Drosophila melanogaster: one gene and its partner. The protein of the gene in region 1 purifies or fractionates together with the protein of each later gene. This does not show direct contact. Each region holds a gene or a part of one and is shown on either strand. Other genes may lie near its edges.

Evidence for each region. The genes of interacting proteins can lie anywhere in the genome.
Region 2: the proteins of Gs1 (region 1) and CG32631 purify together in Drosophila melanogaster (affinity purification with mass spectrometry, with the first as the bait; one large-scale study listed by BioGRID). This does not show direct contact.

The regions. Positions count from the first base shown.
Region 1 is NT_033779.5:126,717-137,809, reverse strand, and holds Gs1 (glutamine synthetase 1), read right to left. Parts: upstream 5,734-11,093; 5' UTR 5,328-5,733; coding exon 4,128-5,327; 3' UTR 3,338-4,127; downstream 1-3,337. Other genes in the region: CG3164 (uncharacterized protein), read left to right, coding at 7,259-7,302, 8,868-9,010.
Region 2 is NC_004354.4:13,551,104-13,562,196, reverse strand, and holds CG32631 (uncharacterized protein), read right to left. Parts: upstream 5,726-11,093; 5' UTR 5,649-5,725; coding exon 5,478-5,648; intron 5,372-5,477; coding exon 4,604-5,371; 3' UTR 4,331-4,603; downstream 1-4,330. Other genes in the region: CG32633 (uncharacterized protein), read right to left, coding at 1-231, 480-486; CG11816 (uncharacterized protein), read left to right, coding at 7,948-8,786, 8,933-9,105, 9,197-9,273.

The sequences.
Region 1 (11,093 bases):
TTAATTATTGTTAATTATCTGTTAAAACAGGCCCGGCCTAAATGGGGAATTTGTGTTGACAAGGTTTTACTAGGTCTTCCCAAATATGTAATTTCGGACTCGCTAATGACCAATAAAATGGGTGTAGGGAGATGGACATCGGTTGAACGAACTCGAATTGCCTGCACGGCATGAAACAAGCAGTTGCCCCGTAATGTTATATATTTTTATGTAAACAGAAAATACGTTCTCTTAAATTGTCTGGATAATATGCAAAGAAAACACATACATATGTACAGTTAATTTTATCATTTAAGTCCAATGAGGTCTGGGTAAACAACGCCCAGTAAAATTCTGCCGGCTTATCGAAAAGCTCTTATCAAACGACTTTCTCAAAACAAAGTTTTTTTTAATACATATATTATCTCTGCGACTCTCATCCATTCAGACTGAATATTGCTAATGGATCCTAATCTCATTATCAACTAAAAGCGGGACGCTTTACTGATAACTTAGAAACATAATCGCCGTTCTGACACAAACCAATTAACAATAAAATGAAATTAAAGTAATGCGCATGAATGTGTGCCACAGAAGACGACCTTTGCCTGACCATATGCCCGTCATCGGTTTGGCTACGGTGATTACCCCAAGAATCGGGGGATTGAACTTTGTCTGATGCGATGCGCCAAAACGCACGGAACAGATCGCAGATCACTTGGTAGACGCGTGTGGGCCCATGACGCAAATATTGGGAATCGCGTGTGGTGGCAGAGAAAGTAAAGTGGAGGTGTTCTAAAAAAAAAAAGCGGCATAAAATGGGGGGAGGAAGATCTTTGGGCTCTTTGGAAAACTAAGACAGAACACGCAGTCCGACCCTGCTGTTGGGTGATTCAGTTCCAGACATCTATATGCTCTGCAAATTAAATATAGGCGCTCATCACGACCACAACATTGCGAATGGCGTGAGCAGTGGGAAATTAGATAAATAGGCCAGATAAAAGACAGCACTTGTTGGCTGCCTGTGTTTGCGCAAGAACCCCACCGTATCGACACCCGCCATAGATAAAATGGAAAAATCGGTTGCGTAGTAAACTATTTGCGGCCGCAAATCTTTTCTTTTTCTTTTCATTCCAAAATGACGCTACGTGACCGATTAATTGCTGGACATCGGTCACAGGACATAGAATTATAGGATTATATTATATATATTATGTATCTGCTTGTACCTGACAGGTTTTATAATTCTCCAGAGTGCGACCACATATTTTGATCGAGCAATCATTTACGATTGCGCGGACTGAAAGTAGCGCTATAAAACATAATCTCAACAAGCAGTTGGTGCGCTCCAAAAGAAACATCACATAAAAATAAACAGCACCCCCAGCAACGATTATTTCACCAGCAGCTCCACAACAGATTCGCTCTGTTTTGTTACCCGTTTATTGCCGCTTGTCACATTACGTACTGCATTGAGTCCGTAAATCCGCTGTTATCAGTGCTTTTTCCGACCACTCCCATTGCAAGGCGAGCGAATGTCTTGACCCAGTTAAAGGCTCTGAAAATGGTAATTTGCAATTGGCCAGACAAGAGTCGATCAGTAGATGAGTTTACTGTGACAGGCCGTTCAGGAATCACGCTCCACAATCGTGCCCAACTTTAAGGTAATTTAAATAAAATTCGCAGGGGTCTGGGTAAAATTATTTCATCTCTTTATATGGAATTGATTTGATCAATTATGGTTCAACATTATTTTATTTTCGCAACCGCAGCCAGTATGATTTATTGCCCTTTGATAACCCTACCCAGGCGGAGGTATTTTTCTGACCGAGTCAGAAGTAAAAGGCACGGTACAAAAGATAATGGTAAACGCTGGACAGGCTTTTGCAGCCGGAAGATTAACTTCGTGGCCTTACTGTCTTATCAGTTTGCTTGGACTTTAACCGAGTGAACTGACGAACTGAAGATTTTATAGGAAGGTGAGGAGAGTAAGTGAAGCTTATATTTCTATCCAGTCGATCGTTGCCTACATTTATCTAGAGCAAAAATATATTATTTTGATCACTTGATTCAGTGATATATCAATATCATTTTGTTATCAATAGTTTCGAAATCAGGTGTCCAGCTTATCATTCCGTTTTATGCAAATCGCCTGGTCTCAGGCAGCATAACTGGATCTCCTCAGGCCTGCATTGTATGATGTTGACATCTTTGAACGTGTTTCATGCATACCAATGAACCTGCTTCAATTAATTAATAATCTGGTTTTTGGGCGACGGTGCGGAACTATTGAGTTCTGTGGCCATAACAGGCTAGTGCCTTGATTCGATTGTTTATGTGATTTTAAAATATATTATAGTATCTACATTGTGCCCACAAATGCTGCAATGGAAAACGGGTATATTAGATAGTCGAATTGGAATTGGGCACAGGAATGCGTTCGAACATTTAAAGATGAGTTAACGAAGCTATAGATGGTCTGACTACGGATGATTCCGTGCCTCTTTCGGCTGGCTGGCTTGGTCGAACTATCTCTGTGTATTTAACACTGTTTTGTATAAACTGGATGGCCTTATCTCTCCCTCTTAACCTTATTACATTTGCATACCCCGTAATCCGTAATCCGCTCCCAGCAGAGCCAAACAAACACCGCTAACTGCACCTCAGAATGTCAACAATTGCGAGAACGGACATGCAAAGTGCAGTAAAAAAAGCACACTCAATTTTAGATGCTCGAAGACATACTAGATACATACATATGTATGTATATTAAATATCAGTTTAGTAGTACTGCAGTATCTGCTATTTTAATTTAATTCAAATTTAAGATTTATTTTGTAAGTTTAAGTATAATAACCACACTTAATAGCCCCCCTTTGAAGCGATTGAGTTCGCGGTTATACTCAATCAATATAAGATTGCAGGGAAATGCAATTGCCTGCCATCCCAGAGTGCAGTACCCCTGCCCTATCAGCTGGACGCAGTATATTGCCATTGGGAATATACGAGTATATGGAAGCATTGTCTCCTTCGCAGCCATATCTTTCATCCAAGCATACAAACATACATATATGTACATATATACGAGGGTGTGTGTCAGTTGAGCGAAAAACACACATATTCTGAACGGAAACCCTAAGATTTAGTCTTTGAATACTTTCAGTGTCAGGCAGCTGTTTGTGGTGGAAAACTTTCCATTAAAAACAAGGTCTTGCCTTAGCTAGTTTTTGTGCCCTCATGTCACTCTTATTTACAAGCAAGCTGTTCTATATTTTAAAACTTTGATTTTCACAGTCATTGCAACAACAGTTGTTCAAAAGCTCGCCAGAAAAGAGAAAATAAAATAGTCTGTAGTAATGTGTTTTGCTTTGTACGCAGTTCTGCTTTTACTCAAAATGTATTTATGTATCTCAATGGAATTTTTAATTTTGCTAGTGCTAGTATTTAGACATTTATATTATAACAGCATATAGTAAAATGATGTAAAATGCTACCGAACAAAGTGAAGCGACAGATCCGTAAAGTGAGATACATATGTACCAATATATATACATAAATTAATTTCTTAGTATTTTATTTTTAACAACTTCTAATCAACAATTGGTTTTTATAAACATATTTCACATATATGTGTATTCGTGCTCATGGATATGAATGATTAATATGCATATCGTCCGATTTCAGTGATATTTCCTTCTTAAATTTACATTTAGAAACTCTTAGGAGTTATTAAAAAAGTGCGTTCAAGAAGTTAAGGGCAAAAAATGGCGTTGACCGAATTCAACGTCGGATCCCAAAATGTTTGTTTGATCTAAAAGGTACAAAAAATTAACGTAGAGTACAATGTTTTTTATTATTTAGATTAAAGCAATGATAGATATACGTAGTTTGTGAGATATATGGCAAAGTATTCATGAGGCCCCATCGCTTTAAGGAAATTTCGCTTTAGCTTAGTTCTTCTTGCCACCCACCCACGTTCTTAAATTCTAAGCGCACGCTTTTCGTGCCTCGGTCTCCTGTCTTTTTTGCACAAGCAAACTAAATTTTGCTTCAGTTCAATGTAAATATAACCAAATGATCGGATACGCTTCACAGTTCCATAAAACATAATGTACAAAAAATTAAACATCTGTTGCACCGCTCACAGCCTACTCGTTGAGCAGGCAGGTGCGAACAATGGCGTTGCACACGGCGTAGGGATCACAGTTGGAGCTTGGCCGCCGGTCTTCGAGGTATCCTTTGCCGGCCGTCGCAACGCCACGCGGCACTCGCACACTTACGGCCCGGTTGGCCACGCCCCAAGAAAACTTATCGATGCTAGAAGTCTCAAGACGTCCCACGAGGCGCCGTTCATTGTCTTTGCCTTCCTTGGGGTCGTATGCCTTGATGTGCCGCTCGTGGCGCTTGCTCAGCTTCTCGATAGCTTCCTCGATGGCCTTGATTCCGCCATCAGCACGCATCTCCTTTGTGGAAAAGTTGGTATGCGCGCCGGCTCCGTTCCACTGACCCTCCATCGGTTTGGGGTCAAAGGTGACCACTACGCCATACTCCTCAGCTATGCGCTGCAAAATATATCGCGACACCCATAAATCGTCACATGCCTTAATCCCGGCTGGACCAATTTGGAACTCCCACTGCGCGGGCATTACCTCGGCATTGGTGCCGGCGAAGTCGATCCCAGCATACAGGCAGGCCACGACGTGGGCCTCCACAAGATCGCGAGCGTACACACGGTCAGCTCCCACGCCGCAGTAGTAAGGACCTTGTGGGGCTGGGAAACCGTTCTCCGGCCAGCCGAAGGGACGTCCGTCCACGTCTAATAAAGTGTATTCTTGCTCAATGCCGAACCAGGGCTCCTGATCGCTAATTAGGTCAATGGCTGCCTGGAACGCGGCACGCTTGTTGGACGCCGTCGGCTTGCCGTCGGCGCTGTAGGTGTCGCACAGGACAATTACGTCGTTCTTTCCCGGCTTAAAGGGATCGCGATATATGGCGCGTGGCTTGAGCGTGGTGTCCGAGTTCTCGCCATGGGCCTGGTAGGTGGAACTGCCGTCGTACTGCCAATCCGGCAAGTCCTCCACGGAGCTGGGTACTTTGTCCAAAACGCGATCCTTGAGGCGAATGTTCTCGCCGGTACCGTCGATCCATAAGTAAGTAGCCTGCACTCGATTGGCCGGCGTTTCCAGGTTGCGGTACCTCTGCAGAATGCTCTTGTCTAGAGCCGTGTTGGGGGAGTTGGCCAAGAACTGGGAGCGGGTGGTATTGCCAGTACGCAGCAGACGCAGCTGCTGTGTTGCGGGAGCCACCAGCTCCTTCTTCAGGAAGAGTCCTGCCACGCGTAGTGCCATCTTGGTTCTTGGATTGGAGTCGGCGAGAAGGACAAAAGGACACGGTTAGTTATGTATTGCTGGCGAATGTGAGGACGTGCGCAGGAAGGGCAAGGGCTGGTGGCATGCTGGCTCACTCTGCTTTTCTCATGAATTTTTATGTAATTATTTTCCTTGCACTTGATTTTCCGAGGTAGTTAAAAAAGGGGTACTTTTCCAGTGAAGACGCAGTCTTCCGCACAACTTACCGTGCTCTGCTCGTTTTTCCACTTTACAGTTATATGATTGGTTAAACAGTCGCTGGTTGGACAGGTCTTTTGGTAATTTTGGATTGCGGTACTTTCGGTTTTCGTTTCTGTTTCTGTCAGGGGCTGCGGAGCGACTGTTGGGGACACCCGACCAATTCGATGTTTGGAAGTCTTGTGAGCACAGTTAGCGCGACAGCATTCACTTTTTTCGTTGTTTCGTCGCGCGCCTCGGGTTTTTCTTTATCTCGTTTGCGACGCCGACGCACAGACAAAGGCCTCCCAGAGAGCATTCAAAACTGGCGGTATATGAGCACCCGCTCCGCAGCCACTAGCCAGAGAGACCTGCAATGCGACCCATAATGTTTATGTTTCGAGGCTAGTCGGGTAGCCAAAAGCCCCGTTACTGAGCACACGCTATAAGCTCATTTATGCATTTCGAGCACTTGTAGCTTGCATTAGCGCCAAATGAAAAACAAAAGTTTTTAGTAATTCTCATCGTAGAACACCTGCACCATTTATGTGCATGGCCCACTTTAGAACCCACAAATTAAGTTCTACATTTTTGATAAATTCATTTCAGAAACTATGATAGGTTACGCAGTATGCAGATGCATTTCAGCAGTACTACTTATTACAACACTCTCTCATTTCTCGTAATCTCTTCGTAAAAACCTCCACCATTTTGCTCTTTGGCTGATTGTTTTGAATACACGCCTGGTACAAAGTTCACTATATACAATTAAATATAGCGAATGCAAGGAGCACCGTATCAGCTGTGTCTATTCGTGTTTGGCATTTGATAAACTCTGTGGTGGACCGCATTAATAGAGCCTTAAATGAAGCAATAATGATTTGTTTATAATATGTAAATTCGGTACTAAATGTTCCTATTCCTGGCTTGGGTCTCGCATACGACGTTCTGAATATTAAAAATATATCTAACTAAAACTATAACTAAAATAGCAGTATAAGTACACAGTGTAGCCAACTTTTAGGCTGAGTATGTAAAACGTTGAAATTTAAATGCTATGTAAATTCTGATCTAAATATCCTGTGTGGAGGATATTCAATATTTATTTGTTACAGATTATACTTAGTCCTAGGCCGTCGTTCATCAAGCCACGCATATTGGCCCACTCCCTCCTACATAATGGCATGTTGTCGCACAAAAGCCGAGACCACAGATATGTCTTCCAATTATTTGTTGGTTGCCTCGTAACTTAGAGGAAAGTACTGAAGAACGGATGAGTATATTTCAGATAGGATTAATGTTAAAATAAAGCTAAAACTCTGTTTCTGGCGGGAAAGCAAGCTTTTTTGGACGGCTCATATTGGGAGAGCTTCAGGTGGGCATAACAAAGAAAACAAGGAAAACAGAGGAAACTTTTATGTGCCAATGTGTGAGTGCCACTTTTCACCATAGACCCGAGTAATTCCCATATAGCCGTCTACGCTTTTCCAGTTACGTGGCATCGTTTCCACTAGTTGGCCGGCTTCAGTTTTCGCAAGAAACTACGAAAGTTTCCCTCCAGCAGAGTGTACATATTTTTACACCCGATGTGCAACAACCAAATACAAAATCGCTAATTCTTATATTCGGTTTGGGTTTCGACTGCCTATTCGTTATTGCCTGCGACTTAGCTTTCGCGAAGGCAACTTGTTGCTTCAAAGCGATGGTTTCAGTAGCTGTTGAGTTACGGCACCATGAACCAGTATAGTTGGAAGCAGTTTTTGGAAAATAATAATCTGTAAGTAGCCGAATCAGGCGGGTCTCAAGCAAAATGCATCACATTTAGTTGGCACATCTAATATACCACACCCCCCGTTTATAAAACGAAATCAACAAGTGTAGAACAACCGGTTTGCAATTCCTGCCAATTGTTGACATCTCCGTGACTTGATTAGCCACAAGCTTTAAAAAATTTCCAAGCCAATAGTCATCGGGAAATTGCCAGTGGAAATACATTATTCTTTCATATCTTAAGGCGACTGCATAACTTTAGTGCTGTATGCTGATTTGAACCCAGAAACCGAACTAGGAATAATATCTCAAATTGCGGTTTGTACTGGGAAAATACCTTTTGTTGGTCAATTCATTACGTTTTTACTTGCCCCAATATATACAATAACCGGTTTAACTAAACGTTATTAGCACTCCCAGTGCAATCCGTAAATCCCAATTAGATTGGGCAAAATATAGACCGGAGCATCGTAAAAGCATGCCAACAAGGAGCCTTACAGCAATGTCTACATCTAACTGTTGCGTTCAGATATACCACAAAACTGTTTCTGGGGCAAAGTTGTAAGGTCGTCCCACGCCATAGCCACAAATGACCTCATGCCACATTAAATGTAGGGAAAAGCAAAATGTAGGTAAAATGTCGCGTAAGCAAACCATTAAAAAGCGTACTAGAGCTCCTTTAAACGAATTACGGCACCGATTAACTTATTTTTACGTAAAACACGAAATGACAAAGTACAACCCCTTATCGGCTCATTGAAAACTCCTATCAGCTGTAGATTGACACCCATAGATAAGCCCCTCCAATAACTCATGAGTCATGAGCGAGGCCGTGAACTTTTAACTTAGATTGAATAAACCAATGGCCAGAACCTTAGCTTCCAGGACTAACTACTATAAAAGGCTGATAAACCAATCAAAGTACAAGACTGGGAATCAAAGACCTTCCTCAAGGTAAAGACTTTCCTCGAAATTAGTTAGTGGTATTTTATTTCGAGATACATGGGTCCGCCGATCGAGGAATATTCACAGATTATAGGCTTTTCCCAAATTCATTCAAGACTTAGTAGAAGAATGCGCTGGCTTTTGAGAGAGAGCCAACCCGCAGTGCCTCTCAATCGCACTAGAATCCCCACCAGAAGTAGTGCTTCTATTGTCGTCCCACTCTAACCACAGACGTAAAGCATTGGGGCTGTGAGAGTATGCGATGGCACTCTCTGTCAGCGGTTGCCTAAATTTCTGCCTTTGTTCCACTGCCGCAATTGCTTATTTCAGTTGCGATCGCGGCGCGAGCGAGTGAAGTCCTAATATTTGAGAAGCGGCAGTACCGTTTCGAGCAGACGGGTGGAAAATTTCTCTCACCGGACCAGACGGTGGTGGAATCGAATCGAGAACGCGAACGAAAAACCAAACGGGAACGAAGGGCAGCAGGGGCTGCAGTATTGCTGTCAGTGCTAAAGTTTACAAAGAATACACACACAACACAGTGGTTGCATTTTGCTTTTTAACCCCTGGTTGATTGATTGACAAGATGACTAAGAACGATAATGCAAATCTGTTGAACGACAACAGACTGGGCACAGCCGGAGCGGGTCAGTTGAAAGCTCAAATAGTACCCGCCCAGCCAAAGACGCTCCAGCACCTCCCCAAGCGACCAGCGGTGGACCTGGCCTTTCACAACCTGACGTACCGCGTCAAGGAGGGGAACCGGAGCAGTAAGTACTTCCACTGTCTAGTACCTCTCTCTATATCAAGCTGCACTCCTCGGCAGCACGAGAGCGGGATCTTGAACCTCCCGCGCCTGCTCTCACCTCACCCTAGAGCTTTTGTTTCCGGTCCTGGCTAGTAGTACTCCGCACATGTGTTATTGAGCTAGTTCTCCGGAGTACTCTGTCGCTATTACGCACTTCCCTGGCTTTAGCGGGTTTTACTTGTTTGCTTTAGCTGCGCTTCGCATTGTGTTGGTTTCTGGTTTCTTTGTTCTTTTAGCAGCTGTAACGCAGTATCAACACTCAGACTGTGAGCAACGGAGAACTTCGGGTTGTGGCTGAGTAGATATGTAACCCGTCGTCTCTTCGTCAAATTCATTTCCCAGTTTCACAAGGGCGGCTCTGGCCAAAGTTCACTAGGTTTCACCGCGATAAGCACTGCTAAATACATCAAAATCATCAGCCAGTAGCCGCGGAGTAACTGCCCACACAAGCTATTTCGCTATTGGGACAGTCAACAACTTGGTTCGATGCCATAGCATCTAAAAGGCGAGGAGCCATGTACTCGCACTTTTCTCACGTAGCAGTGTATCTACTTTAAAGCATGGGTGGAGCACAATGGGGTTTTTTTTTGGATCTACTGCTTTTATGGAAAACAATTTGTGATGACGTGCCAGAGGGAGAGGTATTGTTTTTATACCCTTTCCTCGTAGACTGCCCCTGATCCGCCAAAAAAAAAAGGATTATGAAATTGAGTAGCGGGTATGTTATAGTTGAGGAAGTCAAGACTGATGGCGGCGGTATGTGCTTTCTGTGTTAGCAGAGCGATTAGGATTTAGTCACTGCCAATAGCTAGCTTTAGTCGGGTGTGGTGGTGAAAACACATTTGTGGTAATATGCAGTGCCCCGGTGGGGCCGTTCAGAATAAGTAATGATGGCCGAGCGATAATATTCCATTAGTTTGGTATGCGAACGTGCACAACTGCTTTATTCTTATATTTATAAAAGCTCATTCATGAAACCCACTCCCCTCGTTGTCGCATTGGATGGCTGGCCTCACGGCGGACATAGTCCGTGAATCCCGTCTAAGATTGAGGGACTGTCAAAGCCTGTTTTTAAGCCCAAGGCCAGCCAAGTGCAAAACTAATTGGAGAAGGCAGCAGCCTGAACTTTGCACACCTCAAAGGTCGGCCATCCGACTCAATTAAGTCGTTCAGAATAAGCGAATATACACAGATTTATTTACACTGCCCTGTGAGCGTGCCCCACCTAGCCGAAAGATTTGCAGATGGCACGCCGCCTTCTGGGGTGTGCTAAGTTATGTGCCAAAATAATGTATACAATATAAGATGGAAGTGAGGCAACAGATGGAAATTGCGCTGATTTTGGCTAACTATGCCACTTAAAGTAAACACAATTAATGAAGTAAGTGCCTGCTAACGTTTTCGGCTGCTATATTAAAACAGATATAAATAAATTCTGAAAGCGACTTTCTGTGCCCTTGTTGCAAGTTTGGCGTAACCTTTTCTTAGGAGCCCTGAATGGTTCCACTTGTTGTCCAATCCGGTCATAAACATCAAAGCTACGATTTGGCCTTAGCGCTGGACTATAGTTTTTCAAGCGTGACCCCACTTTTGGTGCTATTACATCAATTGGCAAGCAAGTAAGTTCAATGAGAGACATTGCGTACCTAGTGGTTACGACTTGCTAGTCGCTGCCTGGCAGCTGGAATTCATTACCAGCTTTTAAAGTCTACGTATTAAGTAAGTCGCCGAATAAAACATTTACAGTCCCTGCATGAGCTTAATAAATTTGAGTTTCACTTCTGAGCGGGTCACGGTACTTTACTAATCGGAGTTATGACAAACATAAAATGAATTATTTCGTAATAGTCACTTTACAGAAGCTCTATAACCAGTCATAGCTCGCTTTTGTGTCCAAAGTCGATTCAATAGTAAATACATCTTTTGATTAAGAGCCGGCAGTCGAAGAGCGTGCCCCCATGAAAACGGGTATATTAGCATTTTCCGTAGAGCAGATGGCTTGCTGTACAAAACTATTGGTTTAAACTTTAAAGGTATGCCATGAT
Region 2 (11,093 bases), on another chromosome or scaffold:
CCGACAGCCACTCGTAGTTGTAGCCGGAAAGCACCTCGTAGTTCTCCAGCTCGTGCTCCTCGCGCGCATACGCCACGTAGGCCTTGCCCTTGTTGGGAATCACCTTCGCCGGCAGCATGTCGTTGGAGAAGAAGGCACGGCCCACGTAGATGGTGTCCCCGTCCGAATCGTGACCAGCCACCACGGCATTCGGCGGCACGCTGCCGTTGCTGAAGTGCATCCATCTGTGGTCTGGGGGATAATGGAAAAATGAAACGATTATTTAACAGCACACCGAATGGTATAACTCTTTAATTCTGTTGTTCATGGCAAGTAAACTAGTTTATTTGGCTAGGCCAAGTTAGTTTCCAAAATTGAATTAATTTATTTTGAGTTTCAACTGATTAAGTACTTTAAAGATTGGTAACTGTTTTATATCATCCACCTAGTTAAATGTTTTCATTTTTTGTTATGGCATCTTGGCCTTACGACCTATTTACCTGCCATTTTCTTGTCCGTTCTTCAGCAGCTCTGACTTTCAACTGTGAAAGTGGTCGATTTGATGGTCTTTTTGTGTTTCCGCCTCGATGTCGCTGATAGGGCTTATCGGGAATATACCTACATGGCCAGATAAGAAGCCCGACCTCAAGTGACTCAGATCTTGGCAAACTCTTGTTGAATTTCTAATCGATTGGCCAATTGGAAGTAATGGGGTTTAACATCGAGAAACAGGCAAGTTTATTTTATTAACCCATATAGTGAAAGTAAATATTGCACTAGAAATGTTATAAATGTTAAGTAAATTTGATTTATATTTTATTTTTTTATCTCGTTATAATTTATACATTTAAAATTCTTTCGAGTCGTCAAGAATGTAATTGCATTCATAATATCATAATGGTTATTACTTTTTTTTTTGTTGCCGACAAACTTTCTCGCTTATTGTTTGTTACATATAGCATATACATATTTCATGGAGCTGTAGTTAAACACAAAAAGTTTATTCCGCTTTTTAACATACTAATAACAATAGCTTGCGCGTTTACAACTCGTGGTTAACCAGTTATCTCGTTCATTTGTTGTGCCACCTTTTCGAGTTGCCTTACATCCGTGCATGTATCTCCATTTAACCGCCCAATATTCGCCAATTTGAATGGGGGAATCGCTTGATCCTTTATTTATTCGCCACATTGCAAATTTCTTGCGCGCGCTTTTCCGCTTTCCCACTTTTCCGCATTTCCACTCGTCCAGTCGTCCACGCACTTCACTTATTTAGTGGTCGCTGTCTTTGCAGTTCGTTTTCGTTCGTTTTCCTTTTGTTTTCCCAGCATTGTTGCCTCTTTGAATGATTTTTCTTGTTTTGCCTTTCAAGTGGATCACTGTTTTTTGTTTGCATTTTCGCCCATTTACAACTATTTGAACAAGGGAAAACGTGGAAAGCTGGGCGCAAAAGTTAAGAGGGGTTGCTGAAATTGCTGTGCAACGCAACGTTTGCACCTGTTTACAGTGGCTTGTGAATTCCCAATGCTGGACTGGTGGTAGGGGCTGTGTGGGGAGTGTCATTATTAAGCTTTACGATTTTTCCACGATTTCCCAGCAGCTTTGCGCGCCCTGCTCTCGAGCAAACCAATTAACCAGAGATAAGTCTAACTTGACTTCAAACTGGGTAAACAAGCTGCATTCTCGAAATACGCAAAAATGTTGCAGATTATAATACTTTAAATCAACTTTGTTCGGTTTTCGTTGTGCATCTTCTTTTTGTGGGTATGATGTTTTTATGCCACTGCAGCCTAATGAATTTGTTTTCGCCCAGCCAGGCTCCATTTGGCTTTGTGCAACGTTTTAACCTCATTTTGGCCTCTTTATTTAAACCCCCCCCCCCCATTTCTCTGTTTGGCCAACTTAATTTCACCTAATACATTTTAATCATTTCCACAGTACCACGAACTAAATGCCCTCCTTCATTAACCCCTTGCTGCTCCAACCCATCTATCTGTCACGCTTTCCGCTCTCGATTCGCATCCGTTCTCCATGGGTCCATCTTTGCTGGTTATACTTTTCTGGTCGCTTTGCTTATCCTTGCCACACTGTGAAAAATAAAGTTGGCCACACCTGGTTCAAGATTAACATAGCTCCTTAGTTCTCATCTTGATAAGAATACTACTTCTCTATTAATATTAAATTTAATTGTGTTATTTAATAATCCAACTTTATCAAGTACTTTAAATACATACTCCCAGTTTTTTTGCAGTGCATTTTCTATTGCAGGGCCAGTTGCAGTCGCGGTTTCGCTTTCTGGCCACACAATGCGGCAGTTTTTCGAGGGTAGCCAGGGGCGGCGAACGCAGGAGGGTTGCTTCTGGGCTAGGTGCATCCTGGTTTCAGGGGCCATCGCCGTGGGTCACATCCAGACGCACACATACATATGTATGTATGTATGTATGCATCCAAGCATGGACTCGCACTGTCTAGTCGTCGCCGGTCACTCACGTGGGTCTGCGGTTGCGACTGGTCTGGCTTTGGCTTTGGGCTTGGGTTTGGATTCCTCCTCCCTCGCGCTGATCCGCCGTATCAGCTAATGGGTGCAGAAGCAGCGCCAACGCTTATATAACCCGCAGGAATCAGCCCCCCAACCCTTGGGCCATGCCCACCCAACACTGGCAACATCAACAAACCAAAGCCAACCGAAATGTGGAGCATTCAGTGGATTTAATGGTGCGTCCTTGTTGTCCAGCACTTTAAGATGATTCAGCTTTAAAAGAGGGGCTGTGGTCAGGGGAAGGGGTGCGGAGTGAGGGGCGGGGGGTTGTGGAACACTTAATGGCAGTCATCTGGTAATACGTAATTAGGGGCGGGGTTTCAACTGCAGCCAGAGCTTAAAGTCTCATCAACGAGTCCGGCAATTTCAATTGTTGCCCAGGACTTTTTGCAATTGGCATAACCAATGAGGCGGTTGGTTGAGAGGGGCTCCCTCAAAGGTGGAGTGGGGGGGGGGGGGGAGGTGGTCATTCTGAAATGGGGGACTTTTTAAATACAGGGGGGAAACGGGTGGCTGAAAAGCTGGGTAGTCACTGAACTAAACTGCAATGTGTGTGTTTGTGTGTGTGTCCTGGGACCATTTATGATTTGTGAAAAGTTTCGTGTGCACCGAGCAATGCGGTTTCATTGCCAGTCACGCCCCCTTCCATGCCCCGGTTAAAAGGCCCCAGCAGAAGCAACTTTTATGCACAAACTGTGTAAATTATTTACCGAAAGTGCTTTAAGCACCCCACAAATCGGGCCCCATAATCGAAAATCACGCAATTTCACAATTTAAACACCAAAACTTAGCTTCTTTTCAAAAGCAATCTGAAAAGCTAAATAATAAACTAAATAATAGTTCTTGGTTTCTTTTATGTTTACAATTTAATTTTAATGTGCAGTTTAAAATGTAATCTATTTTTTTTTCTTACAACTTAACCTTTACTTAATATTAAACTTCCAGTTAACCTCCAGTTAACAAAAAAAAAGGAAGACTACTTTACTATATTTGAGAACTCCTGCTGTTCACTGACTAATCACAGCTGGCAAGGATCAAAATGTAGCTGCCTTTTGGGAGGATCCACCAATCTCGGCACAAAAGGGAACTTTTAATTATACAACACACCGCACCGCAACCCGCCCCCCTCTACCACCATGCACTCGACTTCGCTTTTCCGGGCATATCCTGCCAGTTTCCATTTCCCGGCTCATTGCGAAACTTCTGAGCGCAACTTGAAAGGCAAAATGGGGAAAAGTGAAGTGCGGAAAAGCGCAGATGTGAGGGGGGGGGGGGCGGTGGAGAGGGGGATAGGGATATGGCATTTTACAGCTTGATTTCCATTTGCCCATTGGCTCTTTGTTTGTTTGCTGGCCTCTTTCTCTGTGGGTTTTTCCATGACCAGCAGATTCAACTGGTGTCGGCTTGCTGCAACTAATAAACAAACAAAATTATAACTATTTATGCCATATATACAAACTTGAGCACTTAATAGTTATAAAATACAAAGACTTCTATATCCATTGTTAAAACTTTTATTCACGAATAATTATCAGTTGATACTGAAAAATGATAATAATAAGCGAACAATTATTGCTTAAATATTGCCTGAGTAAATATTTATTTATCTCTTTTCCAAGTGGCTTCAGTAATTAGGAAAGTTCCTTTTTTGGAAATTGGGCTAAGGGCTAAGAAACAACCTCCCCCCCGTTGCCACCTTGTTAACCCTTTAACAACATTTTCGGCAATAAAAACAAGTTTATTGCCGCACCCCCATGAATATTTGTCTTTGTAGCTAAACTTTTTGTCCCCAAGGAGCAATCGTCAGAAAATGTGTTTCATTGTAGTTTATTTCTTTCGCAGCTAGTTTGTAGTTGTTTAAGTTCAAAAAAAAAGTTGCGAATAAAAAAGGGATTAATGGAGTTTACGAAGAATTTCGGCGGCTTGGTTCAAATCGGGCACGCTTAACATATAAGCATAAATATGTTTAAATGCTTATTCAAATACATATGTTTAAGTGCATTTCATATAAAAAATGGCTAGTTAAGTATTAAGTATAGAAAAAAAAACTGTAGGTAAGTAAAGGGAAATCCCTTTGACCAATTTTTAGAACTGACCACTCAGCTCGTCGTCAAAATCGGAGGTGGGTGGCGTGTCCTTGACATCCGCCCGCACCGTGTACTCCTTCTCGTTGACACTGTAGTAGATGTTGAAGTACCTGCCCGACTGAATTCTCATGGCAAGGTAGCCACTCTGGCCGCGATCCTTGGCCGTCCGCTGGTAGATCACATGTCCGCTGCTCAGGATTACGCGCACCTCCTGCGAACCGTCCTCGTTCTTCCGCGCATTCTGCCGCATGATCTGCACCAGCTGCGTCCTCAGTGGATTGGAACTGGGCTTCAGGCCCGGCAGCTGAACGAGCGGCTCACAGCGGCAGTTGAGCTTCTGGGTGAGTGGGCATGTGGTCTGGGGATTGGGTGACGAGCCGAGCAGTTGGCCCGGCACCGCGGCCACCGGCGCCACTGCACCCAGTCCCAGGTTGCCCAGATTCAGGCCGCCCAGAGTGCCGAAGCCGCCGTTTAGCGAACCGAGTCCCAGGCCGTTGATCAAATTGGGCAGGCCACCCACCCAGGTTCCGATAAGTGGAAGATTCTGGCTAAACTGAGGCAGCCAGCCGGACTGCGGCTGCTGGCTCTGGGCATTCGAACTGGAGGCCACAGGAGTCACCACCGTAATCGGCTGCAATGGCTGCAGAGGCTGAAGTTGCTGCAGTGGCGGCAGTGGCTGCAGCGGGGGATTCACATTAAGGCCATCGAAGAAAACGGGATAGTTGCCGCTGGAACCAGCCAGGCTGCTCTGGCCACCATTGGCGGTCTGGGAATACGATTAAGAGGAAAGGTAAATGTTTAAAAATTGATTGATTTAACCTAAAATCTACACCTAAGTTTGCCACGACTAGTTTGCTTCAATAATCACTTACCAATTGGCGTTTGTCACGGCGTTCCAAGGACTCCATGGGATCGTCCTTTTCCATGGATTTTTCAGTGGAAGTGGGCATGGGTGTCCTTGTACTTGCTGTCGTTGTTGTGGCTAAAGCCAGTCCAATAGCAATGGCAGCCATAAAGATGGTAAAACTTAGAATGTTGGCCATGTTTGGTTGCTCAATTGTATTTTTTAAATATATATATTTTTTTGTATTTTGTAAGGATTGTTCTTTATCAGACTTCGCTTTCAGTCGCTTTGCTGTGGTGACCAGGCTCGCCACTTCTTATATATGATTTTTGTGGTCATATCGCGATATTAAATGATATTTTGGGCTGCAGTTAATTGAACCAGATTTGCCAAGAATCAAAATGGTTTTTAACAACCAACAAAAAAAAAACTGGCTTTGCCAGTACACAAAATGTGGGTCAGCATTTAATAACGGCCATATACTTATTTATATATTCCTGCAAAATTACAGCATCTTCATTTGAATGCTTATGGAACTTAAATTCAATAACCACACAATGGCCAACATACAATGCCACTGGTGGATCTGCAGGTGTCCATTAATTTTCCAAACCTGTGCAATTAATTTACCAAGCGAATTCAAACAAATTGCTTACCTTTACTCGGCCCATCTCCTCCATTGTTTGCCAATTTTACACAAATTAATTCCTCATACATTGCACACGCCTAAGCTAGAAATCTTTGCCCACAGATATACTTACTCAACAAATGGCACATCACTTGCATGGCCATCAAAAACTTCAAGAATTGGGCATTGCTCATGGATTTTAGAAGATATTGTATTTTGTATTTTTTGAAAATTCAAAAAAAAAAAGTCGCAATGAGGAAAATGTCATTAAATATGCCGGCACATAAAAATACACAGTAGCTATATAACTTTTTGACAAATTGCCTGGGGCTTGCCATGTCCAGCGGCCAAAATCAAATCAAATTAAATTTGTGCCAAAAAAACAGGAAGAAAAAGAAGAGGAAACGCAAAATGCGGCATGGCTGGCGGAAAATGTTTCGTTTGCATGGAAATTTCGTAGTAAGATTTTAAATTTTCCCGAAGGCAAGAGAGGGAAACTAAGAAAGAAGTGGAGTGAAATGAACAAGTTGCTTGACAGCCGCTTGCTGTTGCGGACTCATAAATCAAAAAGTTGCACATTAAAGACGCCTTTGGTTCAATTAAATAGAAATTGAATTAAATTACAAAGCTGCCTGCCCTTGAAAACGTGCAAAACATCGATGCAGAACCAGGATTATGAACGAAATAAGCGGCCAAAATGATTCAAAGTGTTAACCGGTTTGTCGAGCAACAAGCCCTAAAAATAATACTTTAAAACGTTGAAAACGCTTTTATGACACAAAGGTTACGAAGACAAAGAAGTCCAGGTAAAAAATTAAAAAGAAAAAAAAAAACATAGTTAAACATATTAAAATATCACTTCAAGCAGTGCAAGTAACATTTGAATTTTAATTATGTTAATGAAACACATGTTCTAAATAAAAACACAGACGGTAACTGAACCAATGAACTTCGATCACCCCTGGAACAAACAAACTCCGAACCAAATACCCTTTAGCACATTTACGAGCTTACACACAATGTGGCGATTATAAAGATTTTTACAATCCTGCATCTGAGCTCCCCCTCTCACCCCCCCTCCCCCATCATTCATTCAGTACATATGCTTATTTACTGATTTTCATCATTTTTCGGTTTTAAATGATTATATAGTGATGCATTTTAACCCTTGGCTGCTGAACGGGGTGATAAGAGTATTTAACATTCCTGGTAATTGAAAATTAGAAATACAAACAGTAGGCAACGCTGCGTATACGTAATGTGAGGAACTATAAATGTAAATTAATTATTGCTTGAAAATTATAAATTATTATGCATTATTCTAAATAATATTCCTGGTTAAAAAAAAAAAAAAAATAAAAATCATTGCCAGCTTAAACGTAGCAGTTTGAAACAAATTAAAGTCATACACTGCGTATGAGTAATATTCTTTTTCAAGAATTTAATATAATAGCATTCTCTACTTTTATAGAACAAATTAAATAATGCGATTATAATGAATACTAAAAAGCCATTATTTTAGTGACAAAATATTTTTTGTTCAACATTATTTACTTCACGGGTTAAGGCCACTTTGGCTGGTTCATTGTGGGCTCTTCTCCAAAGTGGTTCAAAGCCAGCTTATTTGCCGTTCTGGCGTATAACGGTATTGTACATATATAATGCATATATATATATTCCCGATGTTTAGAGTGCAGCCGACGATAATGGTGATGATGATGATGATGATGATGCTGATGATGATGATGATGATGATTCAGTCAACTTGAATTCAGCTGCAGCCTGCAGCGACTGACTGCCTTTGATTCGTATAAATACAAGTCCGGGCCTTTTGGCAGCGTGCAAAAGGCAAGGAAAAGCGCCCGCAGACATGTCATCAAACAGAATCCGGCCGGAGTTGGTACTCCTGCAGCTGCTGCTACTGGCGGCCACATTAATCCCTTTGCTGCAGGCCGGGATAGTTACAGCTCCGTACTCCGAATCGGATTCGGATTTGGATTCGAATCCGGACACCACCGCCACCACCATCGCCACCATCGCCACCATCACCACCGACAACTACAACCCGCATGCGGAGGAGCTGCAACTGGAATCGGAGACGGAGGCCACTGCTGCTCAAGTGGATGGCCAACGCATCGACTGCAAATTGACTTTCGATGCGGCGACAATGGACTCGTTAGGCTGCCACAATGAGGGGGCGTTGCCGGAGAGGGGGGCGTTACCAGGCAGTGGTAATAAGCCGGTGGAGGAGATGCCTGAGGCAAATCCAGACTGGCGGCGCCACTTGAAGTCACCGGACAGCCAGCCCATCTATGAATTACAATTGGTTGTTTGGCCCAGTGACATCGAGGACGGTGATGACTTCAGTCCACCGCTGTCCACTACAACAACAACAGAAGCAACAACAACGACAGCTAGGACCACTAGAGCCACCAGTAGCACCACTAGCATCACCCCCAAGCCCACCCAAATTGGGACACCTATTGAGCAAATATGGCCATTGTACGAGGATCAATTGGTTGTATTTCCGCAAATGGACTTTGAAGAGGAGAATCTTGATTATTTCTTCGACGAAGTGCCACCATCCACATCGTCGACCACCGGTCGCCCGTTGACCACCAGTCATCCCACCGGCACGCCCACTCCCACGCCCATTTATGTTGTGCAAAACTATCACGTTATACACCCCAATGGCACCGAGGAGTACAAGTGAGTGGATTGTCATTAATTAATCAAAACAAAACAAATATTCAAACTAAATGCAAACTACGGTTTTTGAATATATGTACATATATGTAAAATTTTTAAACACAAGTAAAATACCCTAATCAATCATGTTACCAAATCCCCCCTAGATTGGTGATGAGCAACGGCCTGGTGAACTACAAGAAGCTGTACTCCAAGAAAGTGGGTGACCGGTTGATCAACGTTCAGGAGGGCTACAATTCAGTGCCCATTCCAGGACCTAAAAACCAAATCCAGACACAGTACTATATTGCCGACGAGCGGGGCTACAATGTCTATAGAAGTGAGTGTGTCCAGAGTTGCCATCAATAGTGATTGTATATTCCATTTTCCTTTCTTCCATTTTCCCACGCCCCCTCCTGCCGCCCGCTCAGTCGAGCTCCACTATCACCAGCCAGGGTTGTTGCCCAAACATTTGCATTACAAAGCCACAAAAGCGACCAATATGTGAATGAGGATGGGCAGGATTTCCAGTTGGCGGCACAGTGGTGCTAACCACTAAGTAAACATATATATATTTTTTTTGCATTTTTTTTTTATAACTTATTTTAGCTGAAGAGTTTCCAATAAATTGTAAAGAAAACTTGTATTTTTATTTAGTGTTTGCATGTGAAATTAAACAAGATTTTTTAAATAGTTTAAACTGGCATATATACGCAGATATATTTGTATCTTTTGCTTGTGAGTTAAGTTTTTAATTTCAGCTGTGCTTGCATATAGTTATAAAATGTATAAGTATTTGTTTATTATAATTTTTCGACCCAAGGTTCACTTTGTTGGGTGCAAAAAAATGGCGAAATAAAATGTAGAGCCCACAAAATGATTTGCAGTGTTTTTATTTTGTTTGTCTGTCGCTTTTGGTGTTACGTAGTATATGTTTTTTGTTTTTGCGTTTTTTGTCCATTGCTGGCATTTTGTTTTTTTCACTATTTTTATTTCACCAGATTTTGCAAGCACCCAATGTTGTTGTTGTTGTTGTTGTTCAGTCCGATTTCTATTCTATTTGCTGTTGCTTTCTCAATCGCAGTGCTACTGATTGCCATCTTCGGTGGCTGCTGTGCAGCTGCTGCACTGGGAGAAAGGATATGATATAGATAGATATAGATATAGATATATAGATATAGATATCTATCTATCTATCTATAGATATTAGATATGATATGATATATATAAGATAATATTGCTGAGATATTTTGGTACATCTGATGTGTTTTTTAATAGGTACAGAATAATGAAAGTATGTTATGATAACAGGTTTCAGTATTTAGCCAAATAAATTAATTTAAAAATATATGTTTTTAGTTTTAGCATTAGTTTTAGTTTAACTAATGTGCATAGCTCTATATTATATTATATTATATTTTATTCCTTTAATTGAATCATTTTTATTGAGTTTTATTATCTATATTTAACATTATTCTTACAATCAGTTTGAGCTTCTCTGAGTGCACGTTGTTTTCTCACTTAAAAAACCCGTGGGCAGTCGAGGGTTAAGGGCAGGGGCAAGGATGATGCTGATGATGCCATTTAGATGCATATCAAAGTATTTCACTTTTGCCCAATCCTTTTGGCATTTCTGCATACATATGTACGTATTTATTTATTTATTTATTTACTTTTTGCCTTCTGCTGTAGCTGCTGGCAATGTCTTTGTTGTTTCTTTCAATTGTAGTTTATGGCTTTTCCTTGCCTCGATTTTCCAACCGTTAGACCCACCGCCCCCCCCCCCCCTCCCCTCACTCGCCGCATTTTCCCTGTTTGTTGTTTATGCCGCAAAGTTTTCTTGGTCCTTGGGCGTCAGCCTGTTGGCAGCTGTGCAAAGTTACTTTTTGGGTCTCGGCTTATGATTATTTAAATTCATGTCCGACCTTACTTTATCGGTTTGCCCCGATTTCCATGATTTTCCCAGAATATGTAGTTAAATATTTTTATTTGGGTTTTTATTGGGTCTGGCAATTAAATTCTTATGGAATTATTTTGCAATGTATTCACAGTAAGTATGAATATTATTCATATATCCCCGGAATATCTACCTGTTTATAAAGTGATAACTACTAAAACTGGTTTGGAAGCACTCGCTTTTCCTCGGCTCACGATCTCTACCCCCACCCCCCCACCTGTTTTTCCCCCTCTCAAACCTTTGGCAGAGCTCTCATTGTCTTCCATTGTTTATTTTGGGTTATTTTTCAGTTTGCAGCTCGTATATCCGTATATCCGTTCCTTGTCGTCTTGGCCGTACGTCGTTCCTTTTACGGCCTTTGTAATTATCAC